Nothobranchius furzeri: one gene and its partner. The protein of the gene in region 1 interacts with the protein of each later gene in a pairwise test. Links are inferred from orthologs where the notes say so. Each region holds a gene or a part of one and is shown on either strand. Other genes may lie near its edges.

The links. The genes of interacting proteins can lie anywhere in the genome.
Region 2: the proteins of tprb (region 1) and nup153 interact in a two-hybrid assay, tested with the Homo sapiens proteins (3 studies listed by BioGRID, with this or other methods). The link is inferred for Nothobranchius furzeri from reciprocal best matches to the Homo sapiens genes TPR and NUP153.

Annotation. Positions count from the first base shown.
Region 1 is NC_091748.1:67,351,037-67,355,047, forward strand, and holds the start of tprb (translocated promoter region b, nuclear basket protein), read right to left. Parts: upstream 2,803-4,011; 5' UTR 2,605-2,802; coding exon 2,454-2,604; intron 2,164-2,453; coding exon 2,059-2,163; intron 1,969-2,058; coding exon 1,895-1,968; intron 1,454-1,894; coding exon 1,357-1,453; intron 1,264-1,356; coding exon 1,160-1,263; intron 1-1,159.
Region 2 is NC_091759.1:104,986-108,935, forward strand, and holds the start of nup153 (nuclear pore complex protein Nup153), read right to left. Parts: upstream 2,801-3,950; 5' UTR 2,767-2,800; coding exon 2,689-2,766; intron 429-2,688; coding exon 197-428; intron 120-196; coding exon 1-119. UniProt on the Homo sapiens protein: Component of the nuclear pore complex (NPC), a complex required for the trafficking across the nuclear envelope. Functions as a scaffolding element in the nuclear phase of the NPC essential for normal nucleocytoplasmic transport of proteins and mRNAs.

The DNA of each region.
Region 1 (4,011 bases):
AATAGGAGTGACGTGTGCTCTTCTGTTTGCTCCAGTTAGGAGCCTCGCTGCAGAGTTCTGGATCAGCTGAAGGCGATCAAGGGCTTTTTTGTTAAAACATGTGAAGAGTGTGTTACAGTAATCTAGACAGGACAGGAGGAGATTAAGGTATGGAGAACCATTTCAAGTTCATGTTTTGACACCAACCTTCGCAGTTTGGAGATATTTCTTAAATGATAAAAACAGTTTCGGACCAACATTCTTGAGTGACCTTGTCAAAAATAACACCCAAATTAGTACAGTACAGACCCAAATACCAATATCTTGCAAATACTGACAGCAAGAATTATACAGTGGCATTTATAACATAAATAAAAAATGTTTAGTGATGTTCACAAAATGTTGCATTACATTTATTTAGTCCTGTCAAGGTGCTGTAGGAGAGTGCACAAGCAACTCTCAGTATCAGAGATTGATTATTATTCATCAGCGTGAGGAACTTATTTCTATCTATTTCTACCTTATTTATAAACTATTTATTTACAGGTCCATCAGTTAATGTAATAATTGTCCCAACCACAGTGATCAGAGGTGTGCTGCTGCAACCCCCCACCCCAGTCTCACAGCAATCAGGGGCAAGCTGCACGTGTGTTTAGCGCGCAGCACACACACAATTAGCTGTTTTTAGCGGCTCAGGAGCCTGCAGGTACGGTGTGTGTGTCACTCACTCCGGTTAATCCAACAGGGAGCCGGCTCTGAGAGCCGTTTCTTTTGCGACCGACACATCACTACATCATTCCCTTTCCTAATGTCCTGAAGGACAGTACGGAGCGCAGGGGGAGTGTTTTTCTAACCTGCAGGAAATGTCGACGACAGTTATCTAGAAAGTAGCTAAGGGTTACCAGAGATGTTCCTGAGGTGTTTGCTAGGTACTTTTAAGATTTAAAAAGTCAAGAGGGGGTTTGAAAAGCTGTTGGAAATTGTGACAAAGTCGTTAAGTTGGCAACACTGTGGGATGAGCGCTTGATTTGTAATTCGGGGCAGCACAAGAGGAAGGAGCAAATAATCGGCTTGTTTTGTTTTTATAACCGTTCAAAACTCAGATCGTAATTGGGATTAAAATCTGATTAATTGAGCAGCCCTAAGTCTGATTTTTAAACAAAAAAATGACACAACTCACCTTAATGTTGATTTCTGCAGCTTCAAGCTCATCTAACTTCATCTGCAGAGCCATCTTAGAGGTGCTGACATCCACTAACTTATCATTGAGCTGTCTCAAGTCATCTGGCAAATCAATGACAGCAACATTAGCGACATGTCCAAATAATCATTTATAATGACTAAACTAATAAAAAAGGTAGAAATTAGTCTGCATACCATTTAAATGTTCCACTTCCAAGGACCTCCTCTCCAGCGTTCGCACAAGTTCAAGTTTTTCTGCCTCCAGGTCTTCTTTGACTTTTGTGAGCAAAGTCTGAACAAATACACAGCTTGTTAAGATCATGGTGAGGAGCTCGTAAATGGGCTTACACTGCTTACATGATCAGACCCCTGATTTACCGATGTTAGTTTCATCAGTTCATTAGTTTAATTTATCTTCCTTTTAAAGGAAGATAGATGATGTATCATTGGCACATTTCAAGATAAGGACCACAAGTGTTTTAGAATAAAAGAACACAAGGCATTGGGTAAAAACAAGTAAAAAGTTTATTTGATTCCCAAAAAAATCAAGTGGTAAACTGCGACGATAATTTAATTAACTTATAATTAGCCTGAACTGATTTTATTTTAGATGTGTGACCATAGACAACATGAATGAATATCACACTGGTTTCTAGATTAATTTTTTGTTGACGCTAACAGACTAGAGCAAGCAGTTACACATCTGGTTTATTTTATAGTGCTGCTGAATTACCTGCTCCGATGACAATCTCTCCTGCACAGACTCAAACTCACTATTCCTCTCCCGGGCATCTTTGAGCTCTTCACCTGCACCAGTGTGACAAATCTCGATTATTATAACTCTAAACAGCGCAGCCGATTTAAATGCAGCTAAAACGGCAACATGGTCGTTCTTACCGAGTTTGGAGATCTCCTCTTTCAGTTTGAGGAGTTCTTGTGTTTGGGACAAAAGTTCTGTTTGCCTCTGGCTGAGCTGTTCAGCCTTCTCAAAAAACTGTTGTTCTGTTCAAAGTAGACGGCGCCATAAACTTGAATTAGTTTCACATTCATTGAAGAATAACAGGTATCGTTTTCTGTTAGCTTTAGGAATTAGCACGTGCTAGCACTAGTTAGCTAACGACTCTAGCAGATTTTCGATGGCAGTCTTAAAAAAGTTACACCTAAAGCACAATACCACAACTCGTTTACTAATAACAGCAATTGTATAATTGTATTTATATATAAACAGTACTGACTGACTTTGCTCCCTTGAAAAACATTTCGGTTACTTCAGCACCACCGAATCAACTTACCGCTATTAACCCGGTACAGTTCATGCTGTGCTTTCAATGAATCGATTTCATACAGACGATCGGAAAGAATTTTCTCTAGTTTACTTTGAACTGTTTTGGGTAATTTTGAAATCTCTGACGCCTCCAACTCCTGCTCCAGGAGTGCCGCCATTTTCGCATCTACTGGCGCATGCGCATTGGTTTTCTTCTACTTCTTTTCTTGACTCTCAACGTTGATAGGAAAATAGCGTCACCTGGTGGTCGTCCCTATAGGTCACCACAACAAGAGTCACTTTGTGAATACGTTTATGTTTGAAGACAACTTGCATTCACAATGTTTTAACTCTTTCAGTAAACTTTCCCCCATAACTTCAGCTCTTACTTTGCATTTTACCAACATGAACAGAATTCACACAAAATTAGACAGTTTCTAAAATGTTCCAAATGTAGAAATGCCAATAAAAACTACTTACTTGAGTTCTTTATTGCTAATTTTTACATGAATTGTGAGTTTTAACTTCAATGTCGTTTTACCAGTCTCCAAAAATACATAAATAAATAAAAAGAAATACACATTTACTGTTTTAAAATCAACATCATGACATTGGAAAAGAAAGGGAAGAAAAAACACAATTAAACTGAAAATAATAGGAATAAAATTCATATTTATGTACTTTGTGAGTCAAATAAAATGTATTATATTCTCAAGGTAACTGGAAAGTCCTCATACCCGCCAAAAGATGTCGCAACATGCACTGAAAACAACGTGGAGTTGCTGTGTTGGGCCAATAAATCAAAGCGAAACTTTAAAACGTGGCTAAATGAAATGTGGAGACAGAAAAAAATAGTTTGATGTTTGAAATATAATGCGTTGCTTTTAGGTGCTGCAAAAACAACATGACATTTTGTTACCTAAAACATTAGAACTGAAACAAGGTGTTTTAATGGTGGAGGCCATCCTGGAAAGACAAAAGAGAAAGTGCTCAGTTTTGTAAAAAAAAAAACAACAATAAAATTAAATGGAAATCTGTGGGAAAAAATGAGCCACTTAACAGGTAACTATGAAACCGCTACGTTTCTGTGAACACTGCTTCAACCTTTCAAAATGCAGGTCAACCGTATAATAGACCATATTTTAGTTTGAAACAAGCACTCAAATAAATTGGAAAATTGCTAAACTAAAAAGTAAAAAAAATATGCAAATGTTGGAATAATAAGTTAACCATTTTTACATACTGGCATTTTTAGCTTAACATTTAAATGGTTACTTTAATATTATTATAAACTTACATTATTTTATAACCCATGTGCTCCAAATGAAAAGAAAACAAACAAACAAAAAACAAACAAAGAAAATATGCCCTTTTTATTCAGGTTAAACATCTGAACAAATGTGAAATTTGCTTTTATGAAAGTAAACAATGAGCTGATGTGTTTGGTTCTGCATCAACTCTTACAATGTCGATAGAGCGATAGAGTGAGCATAAAGTGAACGATGACATCAAAACCCTTTCAGGATCCAGAAAAACTCAGGTGTTATAGCTGTTATGGAGAGCACTTTGAACAACCTCAGTTAGAA
Region 2 (3,950 bases), on another chromosome or scaffold:
GGCTCCAAAAGTAGGGGAGGACACATCTAGCGGGTTGAAGTGGAGGTGAGAGCGACTAAGAGGAGGTCGGGAGAGCACGTACTCCTGAAAGTTCAGGGATGCGTGACTTGTTGAGGGTTCTGTGCAAATGAAAGGGAAGTTAATATCATGAATGACAGAAGAAACAGCAAAATGTTGTTTCTGAGCAACTTCTAACCTGTGTTACTGGTGCTTGGCTCTGGTGAATCCCGTCCATCAAAAGAAGGAGGTCCTTCTTCATTACCATTCGGAGGAGGAGGAGGAGGAGGAGGTGGCAGCAGGCAGCTCTGGTCTGTCCGTTGTCCTCCCTCTCCTCCTTCGGGAGCATCTCCGTTCTTAAAGTATTTCTGCAGCCAGGAAGGAACGATGCTCTTCACCGTGTCCGTCACTCGACTAATCAGGCCTGACTGCTGCAGATCAAGACACAAGAAATATGGCGTTAGACAAAGAATATACAAGGAATGTAGAAAAACAAAATAATAAGCATGTTTTTGTTACATTTCCAGGTTTTACAGATGTATATGTCCCCTAAAAGAAACAGACATAACCAATCACACAGCAAAAATGAAAATAATTTTTTAATGAAAGAAAAACAAAACAACTTTACTTTGGCGTATAAAAACTTGCTTTTGTTGTTACAAAAATAAATAAACTAAAGAACATTTTTCAGCTTTACAGAAACAGGATTTATTAGTTGGGCGTTGTGTGGTTTCTCATTACCAACCCATGTTGGCAGAACTGAATGCTGCCATTGCCACAATTATGAATGAAGGCATTTGTTTCCTCCTTATGGGTGTTTTTTAATAAGTAAACATCATACTGGGATTACCCACTGTTAGTGTCACATATGTACCATGATGGCGGGCCTAGCTATAAGAGGGATGGGTTGAAAACCTGCTATTCATGAATCATCTAAACGATTCCACTTTGATTAACCCAAAATACTGAGTTTGTTTCATTTCATTTATAAAATCACTATCCCATCTTTTGTTTATTTTTCCCTTTCATCTAAAGAAAACAAGACTATGTTGAACAGAATGTGCTCCAACTAGTCTGCTGCACATCAACAACTGTGGTGACTTGCAGCAAACTGCAAACATGGTTAAATCCAGATTTATTTTTCTTCCAAGTCAAAATTAATAATCTTAATGTTTCTATTAAAAGTGAATTAAAGTTGTACAAAAAGCAACTGGACTTCTTTTAAACTCCCAGAGAGATGTCAGATTTTCTGCAGCTCGTCTCAGGTTGCTGCAATTTGTATTTGACATTTTTGTATTACCCCAAATTTTCCAAACAGTTAAACATTAATGACTTGTGCAGTTGGGTACTTTCAGAAAAACTTTTCTGATCTTCGTGACATGGCACAAATATTAGCAAGAAGCAAGCATGTTGCTAACACAAGAACTGAATGTTTAATTTACTTACCATGTAAATCAAAAAGCCACAGCAAATCTTTAGTTTATTAGCATTTGCAAAACTAGACTTTACTTGTTCTTGTCGTTATTTGTTTAAAATAATGCAACTTCTTCTAATTGTAACACCTCATAATACAACGCTAATAATGTGGTAAACAGCAAGGTTGCGCAATAACCTACAACCATCAGCTTTGTGTCTGCCACTAACCTGCATGTTTAACATCTTATGTACTTGTTTGATTTCAATAAAGGCTGATTTATTGCAAAAACATGAGTGCCAGGCCTGTATAGAATAAGAACATACAAGTTTTAAAGTGAGGTGGAAATGGATGCACATGTTTTGATGTAGCAGAGTTGTTTATGGTCAACTTAGCAAATTTTAAATAATTAACGGACAACGTTTGTCATAAAAACACTGCTGACAAAGTAATTATTTATTAATACACCGACCTTAGTTAGATATCATTTCTGCAACTCTAGAGACTTAAGCATTTTATTATAAACACACTATGTGGAAATTTTAAGAGATGACAAAACAGATCAGAGAAACCGCCGAGTGCCCAGCCACGTCTTGCCTAATGTCTACATTTTAGAGTGCTTTTAAAAACGTCAACTTTGACATCAGGGCGGTAGATTATCCCTCAGGGGGACCATGTGGGTTCCCAATAAACCCAACGCTCCTTGCGCAATTCTGCAGGCTGAGATTTGACTTACACTAGTCATTTATATAATACCTCAGTGGTATTATTGTACAGCTGCATTATAAACGTTCACGTACTTAAATAAATATGTAACGACGGAATAAATGATCGTGTCACTTGAATCTGCGATGTTGAAAAGCACCAAAGACAATGCGTTGTACGCCGATGCTAGTGGGTTAGCTCCAATTAGCAGCTGAAATTCTACTTCCTCGCTTCGTGCTAACTTGGCTAATCACTTTCAACTTACAAAATTATTATCTCAGCTTTTCATGTAGGGATCTGAGCTAAAACAAAAACTAACTAAGTTTTCTGGACGATACACTGTCGTTATTTGACTGTCAAGTCCGTCTAATTTTGCTAACCTTAAGCCAACTTGCTAGTTTGTTAGCATTTCATGGGCATGCTAGCGGCGCGTGGAGGCCACGAGCGCTAACTGAAGGCCATAAAATGTCTCAAACAAAACAATAACAAAACAAACTGAAGAATTGTGGCAATTCAATCACTGTGCTGTGCTCGACTGAGGCTGTTAACACGGAAACTTTCACTTGATTTACCTGTTTACTCTTGGCGTAAGGTTTAGAAGCAATCTGACATCTCCTGCTTCTAATTTTCCCTCCACCCGTGGCCGCCATGGCTCTGTCGTCTGAGTGAGTCTGCCGTTGTTTCGGCGCCGGATAGCTGTCATCCAGCACAGCGGCCGCCGGCAGATGAATTGTGGGTAATGTAGTGAGTGACCATAACAAAAGAGGTCAAGGGCTCTTTATGGAGCCGTTTTTCTGTGCGCAGCATTTATTTATTGGATTATTATTTATTGAGACTGGGGTGAAAACTATTAGCTTATTTAAAAAAAAAAGAATTCAAGATAGTCTTGAAATAAAAAAAATGATTGATGTTGTTTTCATTTATCTGATAATAGCTGGCTACCCCTAAACAATTTTCACAGGGGCGGCCAGATGGGGGGCAGTGAAAATTTGGGGTGGCACACCAAATTGGTCCCCGTGGCAATAATAATTTCAAAATTGACAAACACAAACATTTCAGAATAAATCCAGTTATTACTGGCCTTGTTTCATATTATTTGACGGTTTTAAAAGTTTAATTTACGCATTGCTGTCATAACAAAATTATTGGGATTTATGCCTTTTTATTAAAATGAGGAGGTTCTGTGGCACAAGCATATTTTTAAATACAGATTTATTGAATACGGTATTTATTGTTACTTATTAACAATCGATCAAAATAAACGTACTGACATCTATTTATGTCTTGATCAAAAAAGATTAATGTATGATTTGTGTGAACATAAATGTGTTTTAAGGGAGTGTGTGTGTGGGGCAGAGGGCTTCCACAGGTCACGAGGCAGGGATGGCCAACTATTTTTTAAAGATGGCAATGCCCTCCCTATTTCATCGCAGACCTAAAAGAGTAGGTCAACAAGGGCTACATTCCATTTCTGCAGATGCACTTACTGGTTGTAAGTGGAACGGAGTACGGTGAAACAGATCTACAAAAAACAGTTTTTACTTTCAACATTCTGAGCCGTTTGTTGAATATTTACACAAAATAATCCAGACACCACCAGTGTACATGTGTGTGTAATGCGGAAGAAGATTAGGGCACTGAAAGAAAAAAAAATTTAAATCAGCTGTAAAACTTATGACTTTATCAGTGGCCCCAATCCTCCTCCGTAGTATGAAGCTTCATTGCCTTGAATTTTAGCTTTTACACTCAAACCTGAACCGGAGTCAACCAGACAAATGTTTTTATTAGCATTCTGGATTTTTAAAATCACTGATGCAACTTTAAATATGCATTC